2 linked regions of the Lonchura striata genome follow. The protein of the gene in region 1 interacts with the protein of each later gene in a pairwise test. Links are inferred from orthologs where the notes say so. Each region holds a gene or a part of one and is shown on either strand. Other genes may lie near its edges.

Region 1 (10,752 bases):
TCCTATTCATTTCCATCAGGATATCTGTCACGCAGCAAGCAGAGCAGAAAGAAATCAGAAAACAAGTAGAAAGGTGCTTTAGATGGGTAGATACGAGTGGCACAGGCAGTGGAAGGAGGGAAAGAATTTGAATGTCTGTGGTGCCAGGGTTAAGTCTCCTGTCCAGGGCCATGGCCTTGTGGATGAGCACCCCAAACCTGCTGTGGGGAGCAGGAGCCTCCTGTGGCTGTGGAAAGGTCAGGGTTCTCTGCAGCCACCTCCACTCCCTGTTTTGAAGGATGGGTCCAAGTCTGTGTGCTCAGTGATGCATTAAGCAGGTGGGAGGTGGAGTCTGTAAAGGAGGCCTTAACTGTTGGAGATGGGCTGACTCAGAAAATAATGAAAAATAATAACAAGAGACAGCAAGAAATAGGAGTGTGGTAAATAATGTGGACAATTCCTGCAAAGGAAAGCAGTGAAAGGCTCACTGCCTCCAACAGAAAGGGAGACATTCTTCACCATAGTAGTGGTTAGGTTATGTAGCAGGTCTTTTCCATCTCTCTTTCTGAGATCATACACAACCTGCCAGGCATGTTTCCTCTAATTAAGCATACCATCAGGCACCATTTACCCAGGGGTGTGCCTTGGCTCCTCTGCTCTTTCCAGAGTTATGCAATTACCTCCATTAGGCATAGCTCCCTGAGCACAAGCACCCATGACTCATGGATGGCTGTCTACCTGTCCAACTGCTCACAGACTCAATTAAACACCAATCATGGAGAAAAACACAGGGTCCATTTGCACTGCAGCATGCCATGGCAGCCTGGTGCATGAAGTTACCTTGTAAAGGTGCCAGGTCAGGACCATGAGGGGAAGGGGGTGGCCTTCCCCTGCATATGCACATGGGAAGCTAGGTATTGCTCCAGCACTATAATGACAACACCGGGCTTAATACAAATATTGCTATCTCTAAAAAAAAACCAACAAACAAACAAACCCTAAAAAATAGATTGGAAGTGATGATGTATGCTAAATGCTGTCCTTTTTAAAGGTCTGATCTCTACTTGCTTTGATTTCAGTGCTGGTCTTCATCAGTGTCATTTTTAACACTGCACACTTGGACCACTGAATAGCAGCGATCCCCGGCACGATGTAGCGGATGGTGTTAAGACTCCAGCCTAATACTTGAGACGCCTTGGTTTTATTCCCTTCTTTGATGGTCTAATCCCAGATTCATCCCAGCTAAATTTAGGAACTGCCTGAAGTAGGAGCTTTGCCTCCTTTCCAGAGGAGCCAGGGAGGATGCTGGGCTGTGTCTCTCTATCCTATGTATTACTTAGAAGCTGGGGAGGGAGCTGAGGACATTGGGGAGGGGCTGGGAAAATATAAAGAGACTGGAAAAGAAGAGGGACTACTACCAAGCACTGAAGTGAAGGACTAACTCTCAGGTAAAATCCATCAATTTTCATCGCTGAAGTAGGAGAAATGGGAAAAAATGTTAAAAAAATGAGAAATGTTAAAAAAAGAGTGAGGAGGAGAAATATGTGGAGCATAGTGAGGCATGTTGAGACAGTAATGGGGAGAAGGGCAGGGAACTTTAATTTAGAGACCAATCCCAGCCTGTTTCTTTATGCACCAGTGCTGCATACCAAGTACTCTTGAGGATTTGAAAAAGCTAGCCTTTCCTTATGGACTTGTCACGCCAAAGCTTGGATTCTCTGTTACAATTAGAAAACAAAGTGACAGGCAAGCTGCTGTCTTTCCATAGATCTCTGGAAGAGGTTCAGAGGATGGGGTGAACCATACTCAGGGGAAAGAAGTGTTCACAGGGTTGCCAGTAGCAGCACTGCTTGGTACATCAGCTTACACAGAAAGTGCCCTCATGAAAGAGAAGAAATGGTAGATTGGCAGATGTTGTGATGTTGAGCATATGAAGATTAGAGCAGATGTAGTATTTAAGACTCTGTAGTATGTGGCTACAGATCATCACCAGAACATGAAGAGAAAAAAATCACTGGATTTCCACAAGCAGATGTTAATGCACCAAAGCTGGCTTCTTCTTAATGATTTGCCTTTTTGTTTGTTTGTTTTGATGAGTACAGCAAGTATGTTATTATGTGACTGTGGTAAAGAGCAGTGGTCTCTAATGATCACAACAGATTAATCCTTACGAAAGCTCTGTGAGTAGTAGCATTATTATTAATGCTGGCAAAAGTACTTAAAGGCAAAGTATGAATAAATGCAAGGTGTTCACATTAGCATTCTGTATGTTTGATAATGAACAGCCCCATGGACGTGCATTTGCTCTCACCATCTCCTCTGGAGCCTGCCACAGATGAAGAATGGGCAAAGTGTTGCACTGATCCTGAAGATGATTCTTGACTTTTAGGAAATGTCGTCCTACATCCTGTTGTAGCTTTGTTGTGGTTGTTGATATTGCTGGTTTCCTTTATTTCTGTAGTAGGAAGTCTGGGGGATTTGAAGCGTGTCTAAAATGCTTCTATTCATTTGTATCTTAGTGGACTTTGACTGTAATATGCAAAATAGCTTTATATAAAACAAATTACAAAAGTACATATAATTACAGAATATATATATATATGTATGTATATATAAATATATATATAATTACAAATAACCAAAAAGCTGTCACTCTACATTAAAAAAAACGAAAAGGAAGATGTTTAAAAAAAGGGGAAAATTAAATATTCCTGGCAGCTTCCCTGCAGCAGATCCACTATGCAGAAACCATGTAAAAATACTGACTTCCTCTCCCTCTATCATTATTCTCTTTCTCTACATTTATGATTTTTTTTAACTGTTTGATAATTTCTTTCTCATTCCTAACACAAGTTTCCTGAAAGTCTTGTTACTGGGTTGAGGGTAAAATCAGATTCAGAAGAAAGTTTCTATTTAGTGACTGGGCATGTGGAACTTCCCAGTAGCCTGTGAAACTTGGTGCTCCTGCTTCTTGGGCAGAGCTGTGCTTGGAGCAGCCACAGGAGGTGGTGCCCCACTCCTGAATCGCTAGATTTTTCCCCTGAAGGAAGAACCAGAAGCATCTCCTTGAAGCCTTACAGGTGGGGCAGCATCCTGCCAGTCAGCACCAGCTGTTAGCCAGTCACCCCTCCAGGCAGTGGCATCCTGAACACTTCAAGCTGCCTTGACTTGGTCACTTAATTGGATGGAGGGACAGGTTGAATTTTGCCCTCAGCTTCCTGAGCTTGTCTGCACAAGTCACTCCACTGTCCTTGTCCCTGCTGTGCATCCCCAAGTTCTATCTTTAAAGTGAGATAAAATGAGCTGCCAAGGTTTTGGGTGACTTGTCCAGGGTACCTTGATGGGTCATTTGGTCAAGCAAGGTGGGAGCAGATGTTGTTTTGTCAGCACAGATGCTGCCCTGGACAGAATGGTGTGTTCCTCAGCTCCTTGTCTCTTGGGAAAAGTCATCTGTGAATGTGCAAGAAACATGCTGGACCTTATGAACAACAACTGGAAAAGAGACAAGGGATACTGCTGTTTTATTTATTTACTCATGTGCTCCCAAAGTGGCAGTGTGGCCAGAAGCACTAATGGGGCTTTTTGAATATGGGTTCAGGAAATGCTCCTGGGGTTTCAGTCTAGGGCAAAGATGTCATTGGTGTGAGAGAAATTTTGGTCTGGGAATGAAGGTGTGTGTGTGTCCAGAAGGACTCTGACCAAGCTGTTCAGCATTTGAAGAGAGGGATGAAGGGAACCTGAAGATTATAAGCATTTCCCTGGAAAATAAAACCCTCAGGCCTTGACACACATCCTGTGGCATATAGCAGGCTGTTAACTAGGTGTTAAACTACTGAGTTTTATAGTGCATTCTTCATCACTGAGAGTTTTTGAAACCACAAGTTGATTTGTTAGTAAATGTAACTAAAATGGATGTGTTTAGTTCAAACTGGCATTCATTCAGGGAAGCCTTCTCACCTGTGTAGTAAGGCATATCAAATTGGATACTTGTGCTAGTCCTTTTGATTTATGAATTTATTAACATTTTTTTCAAATAGTGTGTTCACTGAATATATTTCACAGACTGGAAAAGATGTTCTGTGTGATTGTAAAACTTGTTGTGGTCAGCAGTTTGTAGTAATTTTTGAACAGGAATGCATTTTCCTGCAAAGTACAACTAACTTCCACCCCCTCCTCTTCGCCTCCACCCTGGCTTGTGAGTTGGTTCCAGTTTCAAATACTTAATCATGGGAATTTTTGGTGTTTTATATTCTGGATAGAATTCAGAGATTGCAAACTTTCTGTGATCCACTTTATTGCAGCAAGATTCTTTCCAGAAACATTATACTGTGTGTTGCTGTTTTGTGACTGGGGCATGTGGTAAATCTACTTCAAGAATGAGTCAGTGCCAGATTTCTATGTTGTCATGCATATAGACCAAAATAAGAAACATCTGTCCTTTTTTATTTAATTAATTGAAAAGAAATATATAAGTACAAACTATTATAGGTAATACAAGGTGATGCACAAGTGAAATAAAAAGAGCCACTTGGAAGCGTAGTCTGGAGTTTATTTTTAAAAAAGTAAATCACTAAATATTATTTACTAATAATTAATCTTGACATTTAATATTCTGCATCTCTCTAGGGGTCACCACTATTTGTCCTGTGATGATGACCTGTGTCTATGTGGAATGCTATTATCATCTTTCAGGGTCTGAAATCAATTGCAATTTTTCACCTCTGTTGAAGCTTGCTGTTGTGTTTTTACATATTGACTCCAATTCCATATTTTAGAAATTATTTTTTCTTTCAAAATGTTTTATTGCTGTGCTGTTCTTTGGGTCCTTCTTTAGAGGGACACATCCTTCCCTTCTGTTCACATTTTTCATGCAGAGCAGATTCAGCATAACTGTATGGAAACCTGTTCCTGGCCCTGAAAGCTAAAATTGGAAGTATACTTCTCGTAGGTTAGTGTAAATAAAACCCAATTAATTTTGCTTTAATAACTGCAGGCAGGATGAACCTTAGCTCAATACAAATTTTTCTATAAGCTCACAGGCAGTCCTCTCAATAAAGACAACAAAATTACTGTCATATTTATCATGCTGGGGTGTTTCAGCTCCATGGGATAAACTTGGCAGTGTTCTTCTGAGTTCTTGGAAAGCAGCCCTATACATCTCAGTTTGCAGCATTCCAGCAGATCAGGAAAAAACTATCTCTCTTTTTTCACCCTTCATATTTCATATAGTGATAGTGCTTTCCCTGAGTGCTTGTTACAGTTATTTTTTTGGAAAACAACATGCATTTTTCTGTACAATGTTGGCCGATAACACAACAAGACTATACCAGTGCTCTTCCCTTAGATTAAAAAATCTCAGTCTAAACAAGATTGAGAGAGTAAGGGTTGAGTGAAATGTTTTAGTTCAGAATTTCTTCATGAACCTAGGCAGAATTTTAATATGTTTTGGAAAAAAGCAAATTATTTATTTTGGGGGAAGGCAGGTTATAATTGTAGAAGCCTCTGTATCACCTTTAAAATATCATAAATATAACTAATATATAACTAATATAACTAAAATATAACTAAAGATTTACATAATTTTTATATTTGGTTCAAAATGCTTTGCAAATTTGATCATAAATATTTCATGTTCCTGAATGAAATAATTTCTTTTGGTTTACAGAAAACTTTGAAAAATAACTATAGTTTTTTTTAGCAGAATTGTAACCACTCAGATATTCAGTCACATGTGTCGCTCCTTGCCCTCATATTTAGAGCCTTCTCAAAATTACAGGAAGGTGTAAAATAGCAAATATTTTAAAATTTTTTTTTTCACTTTTGTTTCTAATTTTTCCTGAGCAGTGTTTGTCCTGTCTGGTACTTGCTGCCATGTGACTTCTTGTGACAATTCTGCCTTTGTGTGTGCATCAGTAACTTAAATGTTGGACACAGTGCTTTGGACTTTCGTTAAGACCAAAAAGTAATATTACTGAAAAAGTATTAGTCAGATACAATAGATAATTTTCTTCAAATTTCTACTTTATATTTGTCCTGCTGTTCTTCTAATACCTCATTAGGCACTTTTGCTTGCTCATGGAGACGTGCATTTCACAAGCATTCACTTCCTTTGCTCTTACGGTAGTTTTAGTTGTTGGTGATCATGACAAATTGAAATCGAGCAGTTGTAGCAGTTTAGTGAAGATTCAACAAGACAGGAATGTCAAGAGTGCACTAGCTTGTTTTTAGGAGCACTATCAATGCTCCCTTTATCCTGTGGGAACAGTTGTGCCTTTGTTTTGGTGGTGCTGTTTTTTGGAAGATGAGTGAATAAGAGACCATTGATACTTTTCCCCCCACAAAATCTCATGTGTGTTCTTTGCCTGGCATGCTGCTCTCTGAAGTGTAAAACTAGTGTGTCACTTGATTTTCACATATTTAAAGACCTAAAAATGGGGGAGGAGCAGTGAGTACCAACTCTGCAGGTACTACTGGATTATTTTATCCTGAGACTCATAAAATGAGGCTATTCCCTGGCAAAACCACGGAGCACCAGTGCCGGGTTCCCAGGCCTCTAACAACTAGACACGTGTTGATGAAGGATGAGGTAATTTCCAGATGAAGGGTGGACAGTGCTGCAGGAGTAACGGGGCAGGACAGCTGTGGTGGGGATGGTCTCCTCACAGGTGGCTCCCACCGTTGGGCTCCGTAGGCGTCTGAGGTAGGTCCCGCAGAGGGAAGGAGCAGGGAAGGTGGAGGAAAACAATGCGTCACTACCAGTTCGCTCTGTGCGTACCTATTTTTTTCATTCAGTTCTCCCTTTGGTTGTAACAGGACAGACTTTGCATGACAGATGGCTTATTGTTTCTCTCCTATAAGCTGCTAAAAGATTTCTGAGCAGGAACTCACAGTGTTCCTTTGGGAAAGGCACTTTGCAAGATCTGGGCACTGTCTTAAGGGACTCGAGATCCAAATCACGTAGACCATGGGCAGAAAAAAAGTGGGGGGGGCTTAATATGTAGCATTCAAAAATACATTTGCTGCTTGTACTAGACCCTCTTTAGTCTGGGATTCAGAAAACATAATGATTTCCAGATATAGCCAGTATTAAAAAATACAATGTTTTGGTGTTAAAATGTTAGTTGAAACTAATGGAAAAATACTGAAAATATAATCTTCCTGTAGAAAAAATCAATCTAAATTTACATATTGATAAGAAGCACAGGACCTTTAGAAACATCCATAATGAACCTTATGCTTTTGTAGATGGTAGAGAATGTAAGCAAATTTAATCAATTCTTTTCTAGTATTTTTTAGTTATTACAAAAATTGTGTCTAAATATAAGTATATAATAGTTGTGGAAATAAAATATACAGAATATTTCAGCTTAGATACTCAAGGTCTATCTGGTCTATACCCACAACAGCGAGTGGCTAGACCTCTGGCCCTGTATTTTAGTGCTAGAGGCCCTAAAATACAGGGCCAGAGAAGGCACACTACATAAGGAATGGTTACTCAAAATCAGGGAATATGTTCTGTGTAAATTTCTTTCAGAATTCTCTATACCATAAAGTAAGACAAGAGCCTGGCTCTGGCTGTTTCAGTTTCACAATAATATTTTTATGGATGTGGTATCAATTTAAAGCTCATCCTGTGGCTTTAATTCATCACATGAAAGCTGACTAATCTTTATGTATATTTGTGGATATTTTAGCAAGCACAAAATAACATTATGCTTAATAACAACTTATTCCTTTATTTGTTTTGTTTAAAGATATCATGAATATTGAAGAGCAAGTTTGATTAACATTAAATTTGTTTGTGGTTCTCAGGAATATCCAGTATCTTACAGAATCATGGTAGAAAGTAGTGGAAGAATAACCAGGTGTAGACTTGCAGAAGTAAACAAACCTAAATTTTTTTACCTTACGACTAAAAGAAAATGTGTTATACCTCTGGCCTGTCATTCAAAAGTTTTGGTGATATTCCTAAAAATACAGAAAAAAAACATTCAAACCTGGCCCTGTAAGAAGACAAAAGGTTACAATTTAAAAAACTCAAAAAGTGCCACCAGAAAAAGACAACTTTTGAGCAGGCTGGTGTGAGGTGCTGAACAAATGCAGAGCTGGACCCCTAAGTGTTTAGAGCTGGATCATGTAAAAGGCTACAGACAACAAGCTACTTGTTTCCTCTCAGGAATCATGTGAAAGCTTTCAAACCTTCCACAGTAGGTGAGATCTTACCTCCCTCTAAGTTAGTGGGGCTTTATACTGACTCACCTAGGAGCAGGCTTACATTCTCATGATCTGATAAAAGTAATGCTGAATGAATTAAAAATCATGTTCTCAGAGATGTTCTGGCTCGGTGTTAGACCTTTGAGTGATGCAATATCTTTTCTGTTTTCCTGTGAAGATCCATTACTTGATAAACCTCATTATTAGTTTTGGGGTATTTTTGTTATTGTTTCTTTTTCTTTAATGATTCCCATGTCAACTTCCCCAGATTTGAATGACATAAGGAGCTCCCTTGGTGACCAAATTCCTGTTAACAGTTTAAATGTGTTCGGGGAAGGGAGGAGGATTTGCACTCAGCAAAGGATCTCCAGCTCACAAGCTCTTATTTTATTCTTTTTACTTGAAGCTTCATAACAAGGATGATTTATTTGCAAATGAGTTACTTTAATAATAGGTTTAGAGTTACATAGAATATAGACAATCTTGACCCCCATCTCTGCAGCTGTAAAAGTAACAGCATGGGTGTGGTTGCCTGGTGGCTGGCCAGGATGATCCAGTTCAAGGGGGTGGATAAAATAACATTTACACTTACAGTAACTGTTTAAAAATGTAATTTGAGTTCTGCCAAATCCTTCCAGTTCATTTTGGGAATCCAGCTTATTAAGGCTGCCAACACTCAATTCTTCACACCTTAGTTTCTTCCAAGTTGTCTCCTTCTGCCAGATGCATTTTGCTGCAATACTGTCACTGCAGAGCATGAGGTTCCTCCACCAGCCTTGCTGTGTACATGGTTCTGGTGGGACTCTCCTTGCTGTGAGCCTGCCCAAGCAAGAAGTGACTGAGCCTGGCCCGTGAGACTCAGCATGGAGGGAGGACGCAATCCCAGAGGAAGTGTTCCACTTACAGACAGCTCTGTTTGTGTCTGCTGCAGTAAATGCTCCCAAGACAAGTAGGGTCAGGCATTTGTTGGATCTTGAGAAAGCATGTGGTGGAGAAGATGGAGGCTTGGAAGCTGGAACTTGTCGGTCTGAGTTGGAATTTCAGAAGTGTTCCCAGGCAGTGTGGGCAATGGGAATCAGGCACCATGTCTAAACAACAGAATGAGGTCTTGAACACTTTGCAGACCCACAGCTGCTTAAAAAGGGGCAAGTGTTGTCTGAAATAGCCAGTTCGCTCCAAATGGACTAAGTGCTCACTCTCTCAGTGTTCCTGCTAAGGCAGCACTTGTTTGAGGACACAGGGTGATCCTGCACTGTGGCTGGCAAGGCTGTCACACATAGCTTTGCTGTGTCTAGTCCTTGCAGCTCTAACCTGCCTCACCACAGTGCTGAGCAGTTGTGAAGTGCTGCAGCACTCTGGAACAAAAAGTGGAAGGCAGCAGTTATGGATAGGAATAGCAATCACTTCCAGTGCCATACTGTGAGCTGTGCTTACTCGTGTAAACTGATGCATTATAGGGGTTTTTAGATAAGGAGCCCCAGCAGGGTGGTGCTTGGGCTGCTGCTGCTATTGCAAAGAAAATTGTTTCAGAGAGTTTGCAGTCTCTGCTGTTTCAAGGTCTATGTTCACAGCAAGTCAGTCCAACCCAGCATTTGGGAATACTCACAAAGCTCTTGCTAACACCAACCTGTCGCATGACAGCATCCATAACTAATGCAGAATGGTTCACAGATCTTAAGACCTTAGGGTCCACTGTCTGCCCCGTCTTTATTATACCATCATATTTCGTTCACTTTGGGTAAAATACGTGTTTTTCAAATCAGCATCTAGTCTTGAATATGAGAGAGGTGTAGAATCACCTCTTCAGTGACTTGTTCACATGGCAAATTATTGCATGAACTTGTTAAATCAATCTTTCTCCCTTGAATTTAGCAAAGTTCTTCAGGTTAAAAAGATGTGCTTTTTTTCAGATTAAAAAGCAGTCTTAGTACCTTTTCTTTGTGAAGGTATACACAGGTGCACATGGTCACCAAGTCAGCCTTGTTTTGTGTCTTGATCCTGCAGTGTTAAGATTTGTGTTCTTTTGTCCACTATCTTCTCTTATCCAACACAATTAGAACCCTTTGCTGATTTCAAACAAGTTTGAAAGAGTGTAGAAGTCTCAAAGAAACTTCTTGCAGGCTTGATGAAAAATTGGCCTGGGCAGAGGAGAGAGATTCAGACAAGGGAGACCTCATGTGCCATACACTATTTGGCAGCACATGGCCAGCCAGTCAGTGGGAAGGTATTTATAGGCCACCTGCAGTACACATTAGAGGAGTCAGAATAGACACCAAACTGGGAAGACTTTTCCTCAAGTTTTGTTTACATCAAGCCCATTTGCACTAAAAAATTATATGAATTTATGCATCAGGAAATGTGCTGTTCATAGAACATGTTCTCTTTATTTTTTTTATAAAACTTATTGGTTTTAACTTTTTAAGCTTTTCAGTAAATTCTATTTTCTTCTGCTCTCAAGTCCTCTGTGTCTTCTTGTCTTTCCCTTTTACTCTCTCCAGATTTTTCAAAACCTAAAGTATGTGTACCAGACTATATGACTATATGTACAAAACTGTTACT
Region 2 (11,058 bases), on another chromosome or scaffold:
CAGGAGGCCTGGTCAGCAGATAACCTAAGGGAAGAGGAAGTGGTTGAGGCCAGAGGCCCCACACCCAGGGCTGCTGGTGGGGAGAGAGCCCTTCCTGAGCAGAGGCTGCAGTGAGCAGCAACAGAATCTGCAGAGGGAACTGATGAAACTCACTCCCCACAGGGGGACCCAGCCCCCCACTGCAACACCTGCACCAGGGAAGGAAGGAGGCCCTTAGTGGTTTATTGCCTTTCTGGATGGTGCTGAGCACCTTCTGCCCATTCCAGCCAGGGAGCACAGCCAGGAGCCAGGAGGTGAAAATGGCACAGTGCAGGTGTCTGCGCTGCCTCGCACCAGGGCACCAGCGGCCACACTGTCCTGCTGTGCCAGCTCAGCCAGAGCTGTGACAGGCTGAGCCTGGCAAACCCAGGTCTGGAGCAGAGAGAAGGGGTGAGCTCCCTGCCCACCCCAGGTGAGCAGCTGCTTCCTGGTCACCAACGTGGCAGGGGCTTACAATTGCTCCGTCTTCCAGGTGTGTGTGGTTAGCCTTGAGGTGCTGGAGTGAGGGAATTCACACACTGGTGCAGCTGCTGGGGTAGTGGCACTAGGGTGACTAACAGCATAATGGGGGTGGCACTCCTGGGATGAGAGGGACAGGGGCTCCTCAGCCACCTGGCCTGGCACAGGAGTGGGAGGGCCCGGTGCTCAGGGGTCCCCACTGTACTTGATGAGGTGGCCACTGAAGGTGATGTAGGTGTCGTACTCATCGCTGAAGATGGCGTTCTCACGCTCACCCTTGTAGAGCCGTACCCAGACCTCATCTTGCTCCTTCAGCTCCAGCATGACGCTCTGGCTCTGCATGATGCTGCGGTCGCTCACCTGGGTGTAGAGGATCACCACCTCTGCCCCATTGTGCATGACATGCAGGTATGTCTCCTTCTGGTTCCAGGTGTGCACGTTGAGGCTGAAGTAGTAGATTCCAGGGATGTAGCAGTAAAACTTGCCCGTGAACATGTTGAAGTGCTCGTAGAGGTTGACAAACTCCGTGTCAAAGATGAGGGTCTGGTAGTAGTCGTTACTGTGCAGGGGTTTCTTGCGGCCCACGGAGAAGGCAGCGTAGTGGCTCTTGCAGCGCTCCCCAGGGGCGCCCATGCTGCCCTTCTGTCCCTTGGGCCCTGCGTGGCCCCTGCTGCCAGCCACCCCCGTCTTGCCGAACTTGCCCTGCATGCCACGCTCACCGCGGTCCCCCTTCTCTCCTGGGTGGAGCAGGAGGGAGAGTTGGGCTGTCAGGCAGGGGCCACAGCTGAACCCGGCACCCCAAAAGCCCCTTCCCCAGAGGGGGATGGAAGGAGCAGGGACCTACCAGTCCTGCCCCTGCCCCTCCCGAGGCTCTGATGCTGCTGCCTAGAAGCCACCACAACAGGGGCTGCTCACACCAAAGTGTGGCTCCTGCCCTGTCTGTGCAGGACACAGAACCACTGGCACCACCCCAGTTTCTCATTCCCAGTCTGTGCAGGAGCTGGCACTGTGAGCCCAGCTCAGCACTGGACCTGGGGCAATGCTGGCAACACAGCCTGGGGTCCTGCCAGCCCTCACCTTTCAGGATGGTCATGTTGATCTGAGGCACAGGCTGGTAGTGGGGGTAGAAGCGCTTTTCGGGTGGGGGGCAGCAGCGGACACAGCGGGGCTGTGGGGGCAGCCCCTCCTGGGCATCATCAACCTTCTGCTCCTGTGTGGCCCTGGCAAGGCAGAAAGCAAAGTGCAACAGGCAGCTATGGGGGTTGGGACCCCTCTCCAGTGCCAGGGCTGCCCTGGCCCCGGCTGCAGAGCACCCTGGCTCTGGGGTCCCCTCACCTGGCAGCTTGGTGCTGGGATGGGGCCTCATTGGGGTCTGTCCACCATCGCTGGGCAGGGATGGAGCTGGTCTGGCTCCCCACAGGGCAGGGCAGCAGGAAGATCAGCAGGAAGATCAGCAGGACACCTTGCACCCACAGCCCCTCCATGCCTTGGCAGTGCCCTGTGAGGTGCCAGGGACAGCTGAGTGGGACAGGAATGAGGAGACTCCCAGCCCAGCCATGCCCCAAGCTGTCCTGGGACAGGACCTGTGCACTGCACAACCCCTGGGGTCTGGCTGGGCTATGGAACAGTGTCACCCCAGTGAGCACCGGTGGAGACCCACATTGAGGCAGTTAGGGGGCTCTGGCCTCACCAACATGTGCAGCCCCTGAGCCCTGGCACATACGGCAGATGGGATTACCTCAGGAGCTGAGAGTGGAGCAGAGCAGCAGACTCTGAGCGGGCCAAGTCCTGGACCAAGTGCTGCTGCTCCTGCTCAGCCTGGTTTCAGCTGCCTCCCATAGACACCCAAGAACAGCAATTTAGGATGTCAGCACCTAAAAAGTTACAGAGAGCTCCAGATGCCATGGGGCAAATGTCAGGGTGCAGCCCGACCTGTGTGTGGGACCCCAGCCGGGCCCAGAGAGGGCAGCTGCACCCCACTCCTGTGAGGGGCTCCTGTGCCCTGGGGGCTGCCAGCCCAAGGGTTTGCAAGGGGGCAACACCCACTGTTCCAGAAAGAGGGACGTGGGCTGGCAGCCCTATCTGGGAGCTGGCTGAAACCTTCCCAAAAGCCCACACCCTGTATGGGGCCAAAACTAATATTTGCAGTGGTGGTGGCACTGTGGCCCAGCCCGGGGACTTCACGACCCCTCCCTCTATTATCAGGACCGTATCTGCTGGAGACGTGGGGCCGGGCACGCAGCACCTCGCCCTTTGGCCCGGTGGCACCGGGACAGCCTTGGCCAAACAGGGGTGTAGCACTGCCCAGCGCTGGGCATCCCGCGGCAGCAGGCTCCGAGCCGGGACGGGGACGGCCGCTGTCCCCGCTGCTATCGCAGCCAGGTGCCTCCCTGGCTTGGGCCGTGGGTGTGACCTCGGCCCTCGTCCCGCCCGGCTGTACTCCACGGGCTCCGCCGCGACCCCGGAGCGCCGGTCCCAAGGGCAAAGCGCCCTCTCAACCCTGTCCTGTGTTTTGCGGCTGAGCCGGGCCATGGCGGATTCTGGGGCAGAACCCCGTGGTTTTGGTGAGCGCCTGCTCTCAGAGCACCGGGGTCTCCAGTCGGTGGCTGTCCCACTGTCCCGGGGTGCGGGGTCCGAGGGACCGCGTGCGCTCCGCAGCGGGTGCGGAGGGCGTCTGAGGCCGGGGCCGGATGCCTGGATTATGAGTCACTGGAGCTGTGAAGGGGCGGAGGGATTGGAAAAGACTCCAAAGGGCTTTTCCTGCTGCTCAAACCCTCTGCCAAGGGCCTGGCCCCGGCATACATTTCCCGGTGTCTCTGTCTCTCATCCCGTTGCCTCGGTGCTGCCAGGTTGGAGGAGGCAGGGGAGAAGTGGATCCACGGACAGGGCGTGGAGGAGGCCAGCCAGGGCCTTGTGGGCAGCCTTGGCCCTGGCTCTGCTCAGCCTGCCGGGCCTCCAGCTGCGCCGGACGCACAGCACTGAGCACGGCACGGGCGTGCCGAGGTTTGGGAAGCCTGTGGCTTTCCCTCAGCTCTGGGACCGTCACGCCAGGCATTCCTCTGGGACCTGGAGCAGGCTTGGCCCTGGGGAAAACGCAGTGTCACAGGGAGCTGCTCCACAAGGAGAAACCCTTCACCAGGAAGTTCCCATGGTGGAAGGCAGCGCTTCCCAGGCTGTTGGGAGCAGAGGCGAGTGTGCGGTGCGTGCAGGCTGCTGTCAGCAGCACACGGGGTTTGCTGGGTCCCCAGCATGCCCCCACTGTACCTTGCAGGCGTGCTGGGCAGGAGGTGCCCACCTGCACACAGGTGTACACAGCCCTGCCAGGGATATGCATTTTCCCTCAGGGCTGGCTGCTCTCCAGGAGCAAGATTTAAACATAGTGGCTGCAGAAGCCTTGGGACTGCAAGTCAAAACATCCCAAAATACTTTCCAGCTGGAGATGAAGACTAGGATGAAAGTGAACAAATCCTAGGGAAGGGATGAGGGGCTTGGGGCAGTGTGGAGGCAGCAGTACCTGCAATCGTCTTTGTTTAGGGTGGTGGACACAAACTTCCCTGCACCACAGCAGCCAGAACCATTGTGCCTCTGGGGTCCAGCTGGTGGGCCAGGTCCCCTGTGTGCTGCTGCTGATGTTGGAATGGTTACAGAGCCCTTTTTCCCCTGGAGCAGGGCAGAGCCAGCAGGCAGCAGGGTGTGGGTTGCATGGGGCAGATGTGGGGAAGGAGCCCGGGGTAGTTGCAGCCCTCCAACTTCTGTAGCACCAGCAAGATGTTGTGCTGGGGACCCCAACAGCTACTGTGACCCCCAAAGAGATACCGAAGGTAGCCCAGCGTGGGCTTGATGTGGTCGTAGCCATGAGTTTTTTGGGAACGCAGCTGGGGCAGGGCTGGGGGGGATCTGTGTCCTCCCAGAGCTGCGGTGGGTCGGGCTGTGCCCCAGACTACTGTAAGGCTCAGCCATGTGGTCCCCACTGCTCCTTCGCAGGCAGGACAGCGGCCTGGCTCGGCTGGGGGGGCTCAGGGACCGACCCGCCTGGCTGGGCTTTTGCAAGGACACCCGAGCGCTTGGCGAAGCGGACCCGCCTCCCGGTACCTCGGCACCGCCCGCAGACGGGAGCACGGCCCCTGCAGCTCCGGGGGCGAGCGTCAGGTCTCCCGCAGCTGCCCCCCACCTACCTCTGGGGCACGGCTTCTCCCTCGCGGCGCTGCCTTTGCTGCCCTAGAGCATCGCCCGGCCCAGCGCAGAGCCTGCCCACGGCCGAGCGCTGCCTCCCGTTCCAGAGCCGCCTCTCCCCGCTTGGCCCGGGCGGAAATACACTTTTTGGAAGCGCAGGAGGCAGCGAGGCGCGGGACGAGGCTCGCAGCCCTCCCCCGCCAGATGTGCGCCCGCGGCTGCCTTAACCGTTCATAACATTAACCATGCGTGTTCCCGGTACCGGCCGCCTCAGCCACCTGGGGCCGCCGCACCGGGAGCGGAGGCGGCACGTGCCAGCCGGAGGGTGCAGCTCGCCCCGGCGCAGGACCCTGCCCTGTGCCGGCGGCGCCGAGGCCGTTCTCAGCCCCGAGGGCACCGCGGCCAGCACGGCCCCACCGGTCTCCAGCCTTTGACAGCCGGACACGTACATGGGTCCCAAGGCGCGGGGCTGGGTCTACCCCGCTCCCCACCCCGACTAGCGGCGGGACACAAGGGGCAACCAGGACAAGGACAGAGTTATGTTGCGAGCTGGAGCAGGGCAGCGCGGGGGTGATGCCCGCCGGGCAGCCGGGCTGTGCCCACCCCGCAGAGCCGGCTCGGCCCCCGCACTGCCCCCGCCGCTGGGCTCCAGCCGCCCGTGCGGTGCGCCCGGCTCCGGCGGGCCGTGCTCGGCACGGACCACAGCTCCCGGCAGGCCCCGCGGAGCAGCGGGCGGGGCGGTGGGAGGTGGTGGCTCTCGGGGTCTCCTGGGAGTTGTAGTTTCTCCGCCAGACGGGGCGGTCTGGCCGCTGCCAGGCGCGGCGGCGGCGCGCGGGGCCGCCGGGAACTGTAGGCGGTGGCGGCGGCGGCTGCGCGCGGGGGAGGCGGTGGCGCGGTGAGCGGGGACACGGGCGGGGGCGCGGGGCGCGGGGCCGGCAGGCGGGGGTCCGCACCGGACGGGGGCACCGCGGACCTCGAGCAGCCTGCCCGGGCGGCAGTGGTGGGCTCCTCGGGACTACGCCCCGCGCGGAGGTCCCGGGGGCGCGGGGGAGCTCAGGGCCGCGCTCAGTGCGGGCGGTGCCCCAGCTGCCCGTCAGCTCGGCCGGGGAGGGGGCGCGAGGGTCCCCAAGGGGGCGAGGAGTCCCCGTGTCCCTGCCCGGAGGTCCCCGTGACCGTGCCCCGGCATTTTGAGGGTTCGCCGTGGCCGTGCTCAGACCGGGCTACAAACACGGGGGGGGTGTCAGTGCACCGAGAGGGGTCCCCGGGGCTCTGCCGAGGCCCACGCTCCGGGGTGCCGCAGGACGAGAAGCGCTCCCGTGCCCCCAGCGTGGGCTCCGTGCCTGTGCCGCAGCTCCCCTGTCCGGGGCCGGCCCCCCACGTTCAATGCCGCCTCTGTTTGCCACTCTGGCTGATGAAAGGCAGATTGAGACCCTGCGGGATGGGCCCTTTGTGGAAAGCCCTGGGATGGCAGCTGGGGATCTCTGCCCCGGGATGGGGGTCTCTGCACCGGGCAGCATGGCACGGGCTGAGCACGGGTCCAGTGATGGCTGCTTGCCGGCGGGGCAGCTCGGAGTGCCCGTCTGCGGGAGCCCGGGGCGCTGCCACGTCCTCTGTGCTGCAGGGAGGGAGGTGGCACCGAAGGGCACTGCTGGCACCCCGGGCCCGCGGGTGGGCACAGCCCGGGGTGGGCTCACGATGTTCACACGTGGAGGACACGCTGTGAGCCTGGGCAGGGTGAGGGGGTCCCGTGTCTGTGAGGCTGGGCAGGTCAGGATGTGTGTCCCTTGGGCACTGCACTTCCTGCTCAGGTGTTGGCATCCTGCTTGGGCGGAGCTGCCACGTGTCTCTCAAGTGTCCCTGTGTGGCTTGGGGACAAGCTCAAGGCTCATCAGTGGGGTCGGTTCTCAGGGCCATGGGAGCTGGGCCAGGCTGCTCAACCACTCTGGAGGCAGCAAGGGTCATCCTTGCCTGAGGGGAACCCACTTCCTCCGAGGAGCCTGTGGGGACGTGGACACAGTGACATGAGGCTTGCCTTGAGCCGGGTGCCTCAGCTCGCTGCCTGAGCTGCAGTGACCATGGCACATGTAGAAGTGCTGAGCAGGTCATGCAATCCTGCCAAGACGCTGGGGCTCCTGGTCAGGGGGCGCAGAGGGAGCCAGGTGAGAAGAGCTGAGGGTAGTTCCAGCAGCAAACAGCCCCTGTGTATGGTGGCTCGTACCTGCATGGGGTGGGAGCACCTTCTGCAGCAGAAGAGGGGATGGGGCTCCTCATGGCTGTGTTCTGTTGTTCCCCCAGCTCAGTCAGCACCAAATCAGCTCTTCTCTCTCCCCTCTTTCTAGCAGGTTCTCCTCGCCCCCTGTCTGATGCCAGTCCCGCCCTGCCATGAGTCTATGAGCCCCCTCCGGATCAGCGTGGGTGGTCTGCCTGTCCTCGCGTCCATGACCAAGGGTGCTGACCCCCGCTTCCGACCGCGCTGGAAGGCCATCGTGCTGTCCTCAGCCTGCGTGGGGCTTGTGCTGTTCCTCCTCTGCCTGCACCGTTCCTCCCCAGCACGGCATGGCCCCCCCAGCCCTCGCACCTGGCAGCTTGGCCTGCAGGCAGGGGACCGCTACAATGACACCTACCCGCTGTCCCCTCCGCAGAGAAACCCCGAGGGCGTGCGCTACCGCATCGGCGTCATTGCAGACCTGGACACGCAGTCCCGGGGCTCTCAGGAGCACACCTGGTTCAGTTACCTGAAGAAGGGCTACCTGGTACTGTCAGACAGTGGGGACAGAGTGATGGTGGAGTGGGACAAGGATGAGAGCATGCTGCAGTCCCACCTGGCTGAGAAGGGCCGGGGCATGGAGCTCTCAGAGCTTGTGGTTTTCAATGGGAAGCTGTACGCAGTGGATGACCGGACAGGTGTGGTCTACCAGATCGAGGGCAATAAGGTGGTGCCTTGGGTGATCCTCCCAGATGGGGACGGCACTGTGGGCAAAGGTGAGCTCCCATTCTGCCCTGTGAAGCCCTTGGCTCTTTTCACCTGCTGGGGTGGGGCACACCTTTCCTGTGACCTCTGAGCCTGGCCAAGAGAGGGCATTTCCTGCCAAGCAACCAGCTGGCTATGTGGGGGACACTGTGCCCGGCACTGGGCTCAGGGGTGTGGGGTTTGAGGCATGTGGGACAGTCTGATGGTTACGTGCTGACTGAGCCACCTCATGCCATTCTTTCCACCACAGGCTTCAAGGCAGAGTGGCTGGCAGTGAAGGATGAGCACCTGTATGTAGGAGGACTGGGCAAGGAGTGGACCACCACCACAGGGGAAGTGGTGAATGAGAACCCCCAGTGGGTGAAGGTCATTGGCTACAAGGGTGATGTGAGCCACGAGAACTGGGTGACAAACTACAACACACTGAGGGCTGCAGCGGGGATCCGGCCCCCAGGTATGGAGTAGGGCAACCTCCTGCCACCCAATATCCCACACTCTTGATGGCTCCAGAGCCATACAGTCACCCTTCCCAGGGATGCTGGCACTGGGTGAGATTTAGAGGCTGCCAGAGGCCAGAGATCTCACCTTGTCGTGGTCGTTTTCCTCTGCTGCCTGTGCCAGGAGTATCTGAAGGGTGGCTCAGTTGTCATTGGGCCTGGCAGCTGGGCTCCCAGGCAGACTGGGATGTGCTGTGTGGCCCTGCCTGACTCTGGGAGGAACTGGGGAGCTGCTGCCAGGCAGTGGGGCAGGAGCAGGCAAAAAAGTTCATAGGGGATACCTGTGCGGGGCTGTGGGGTGTTTTGGAAGGGAAGGAGGAGAGGAGGGGGAGGGTCCCATCCTGGCGTGGCTGTGCCCCTGTGGTCTGTGTGGTCAGACTCCGCTTCCTGCCGCAGGGTACCTGATCCACGAGTCGGCCTCCTGGAGTGACACGTTGCAGCGCTGGTTCTTCCTGCCGCGCCGCGCCAGCCACGAGCGCTACAGCGAGAAGGCGGACGAGCAGCGAGGCACCAACCTGCTGCTCAGCTCCACCCAGGATTTCGGGGATGTGACAGTGGGGCGCGTGGGCGATGTGGTTCCCACCCATGGCTTCTCCTCCTTCAAGTTCATCCCGGACACGGACGACCAGATCATCGTGGCACTAAAATCTGAAGAGGACAATGGCAAGATCTCCAGCTACATCATGGCCTTCACACTGGATGGGCGCTTCCTCCTGCCTGAGACCAGGATTGGGAGCGTGAAGTACGAGGGCATTGAGTTTATTTAACAGACATCTGCAGCGAGTGGAGGCATGCGGGCAGCTTAGGGACATGGGCAGGCCCTGCAAGCCTGCTTCTAGCCCGGGGTCCATGAGGGATGTCAGGCAGTGCTCCCAGCTGTGTCCTTGGCCCTGGGCTCTCCTGTAAAGTGTTGACTGAGCTGCAGCAGGTGTGGTGCAAGTGTTTCGGCAGTGGCACCTGGTGGCAATGGACCGCCACCACAGGGTGCTCCCGGCCCCGAGACAGTGTCAGGTCCTGGAGTGCTGGTGCCTAGACAGGCCCCACTGCAGCCCTTAGTGCCCTGCCCTGAATTGCGACAGAGCCATCTGCAGTGGGTCGGTGGCTCTGGTGACGTCCCTGTTCTGGGATTGCAGCTGAGCCCCAACTCTACAGCTGTGCCTTGTGTGCCATGGGGCTCCCTGGGTGGAGGGGGATGTGCAGCCTGAGCAGGTCAGATTGTGGGGATTTCATCAGGCTTTTACTTCAGAAGCTGGATTTCCTTCCCTTTTCCCATAAGCTGGATGAGGTGATGGCTGGGGTGGCGGGTGGCCTGTTTCAGAGAAAAGTCCTGCATGGGAGGGGGTATTGTCTGTGTCCCTTTGCTCCTGTGACCACGGAGGAGGCAGCAGTTCCCTCACCACTGTGGCTGTGCCTAAGGGGCAGGGGATGATGTAAAGTGGGCCCACCCTGGCGCCATTCCCAGACCACACCCTCAAGAGGTGTGTGTGCGTGCTGGCTGTCTTCTCCGAGGCCTGGCTGCACGTGGCTCCAGCCCCAGAAATGCTTCCCGCCCCGGAACTGTCAGCTCTGGGAAGAGCTGAGCCCTGGGCAGGAACTGCTGGGAGCTGGCGACAGTGCAGCCATGCTGTCCAAGGGCTGCTGTGCTCGATGCAGGAGCAGAGGCAGGAGCTGCAGTTCTGCTTGCCAGAGCTGGCAGCAGCTGAGAAGCACTCGCAGCAGCCCAGGGCTTTGGCCAGGGAGCCCTCCCCATGCTCGCCAGCATGTTGTGAAATTGCTGCCGTAGCCTGTGGCCCCCAGGAGGAACTTGTGTTGTTTCAGAAGCCACAAGTGTCAAAGGGGCATCTGCTAGCCCCAGGACCCTTCTGACCCCTCTGACCAAGGAGGCTGTGGCTCCTGGCCTGCCCACACTGACCTGGCTCAGGTCTGCCCTGCCCCAGGTCACAGGGCAGCATATCCTCACACCAGGACCAGTGTTTGGCTCTGTTGTGTCCCCACTTTGTTTCTTTTTAACACTGCCCCTAGGGCAGGTCTGCCAGCAAGTAGGGCTTCAGAGAGCTGGCCACTATGGTTTGGGGGGCCCTTGTGCCCCCTGTATCGCTCTGCCATGCCCGGGCACTGCTCTGCTGTGGGGTCCAGCCATGCACAGGGAGGGAGAGGGGCTGTCGGTGCAGCAGTCAGGCTGTGGTTGGGTGGAGGAATCCGCAGAGTGGTTGGGGCCCTCCCAAGAACCCAGCCAGGCTGTTCCCCCCAGCCCTGTTTACAGTGTCAGCACCTCTGTGAGCCGTGCAAGCCAGACATGTGTTTTCATTTAGCCCAGACGATGACTCGGCCAGTGCTGGGCTGCACTTGTCTCTAGACAGGACCTGTCCCCAGTGCTGCAGACAGGCCTGGCTTTGGCCCCTGCACATGGCCTGGGGATCGTGGAGCACCTGGCCCAGAGCACCCAGGATGCATTTGCAGCTCACACTGGGCGCCAGCTGGCCACAGTCCATGATGCCACTCAAGCGTCACTGGCACTTGGCTTGGCAGTCTCTCCTGGCCTCACTCACCCTCCTCAGCAGCACCAACAGCTCCACAGCACCTGCTGTGATCCCAGGGCTGTGCCAGTGGCTGTCCCTGCTACTTGGTCCCTTCTTGTCCCCCGGGCCCCTGCCCGGAGCACTGCACTACCCTCAGAGCAGCAGCACCAATGCCTCAGGCAGCTGAGCCAGCAGGAGTCCTGCTGCTGCTAGGACCTCTGCAGACCATGAGCCCCACAGAGGAGTTGGCAACCTGGGTCCCCATCTCCAGGTGTCATCCAGCATCCCAGCACTGTGAGTGCTGTCAGCTCCCATGTGTTCCCTGCAGGCTCAGGCAGGGTTTGGGTCAGGTCCAGCTGCCCTGTTCTGCTGTTTCTTCTCATCCTAGAGGCTGAGCACC

The links.
Region 2: the proteins of LNX1 (region 1) and C1QTNF1 interact in a two-hybrid assay, tested with the Homo sapiens proteins (2 studies listed by BioGRID and IntAct). The two-hybrid records come from large-scale screens. The link is inferred for Lonchura striata from reciprocal best matches to the Homo sapiens genes LNX1 and C1QTNF1.

The regions. Positions count from the first base shown.
Region 1 is NC_134606.1:26,798,562-26,809,313, reverse strand, and holds the start of LNX1 (E3 ubiquitin-protein ligase LNX), read left to right. Parts: upstream 1-6,582; 5' UTR 6,583-6,679; intron 6,680-10,752.
Region 2 is NC_134621.1:11,740,294-11,751,351, forward strand, and holds C1QTNF1 (complement C1q tumor necrosis factor-related protein 1), read right to left. Parts: upstream 4,787-11,058; 5' UTR 4,674-4,786; intron 1,997-4,673; 5' UTR 1,983-1,996; coding exon 1,834-1,982; intron 1,719-1,833; coding exon 1,576-1,718; intron 1,236-1,575; coding exon 685-1,235; 3' UTR 524-684; downstream 1-523. Other genes in the region: CANT1 (soluble calcium-activated nucleotidase 1), read left to right, coding at 7,035-7,653, 7,893-8,096, 8,536-8,906.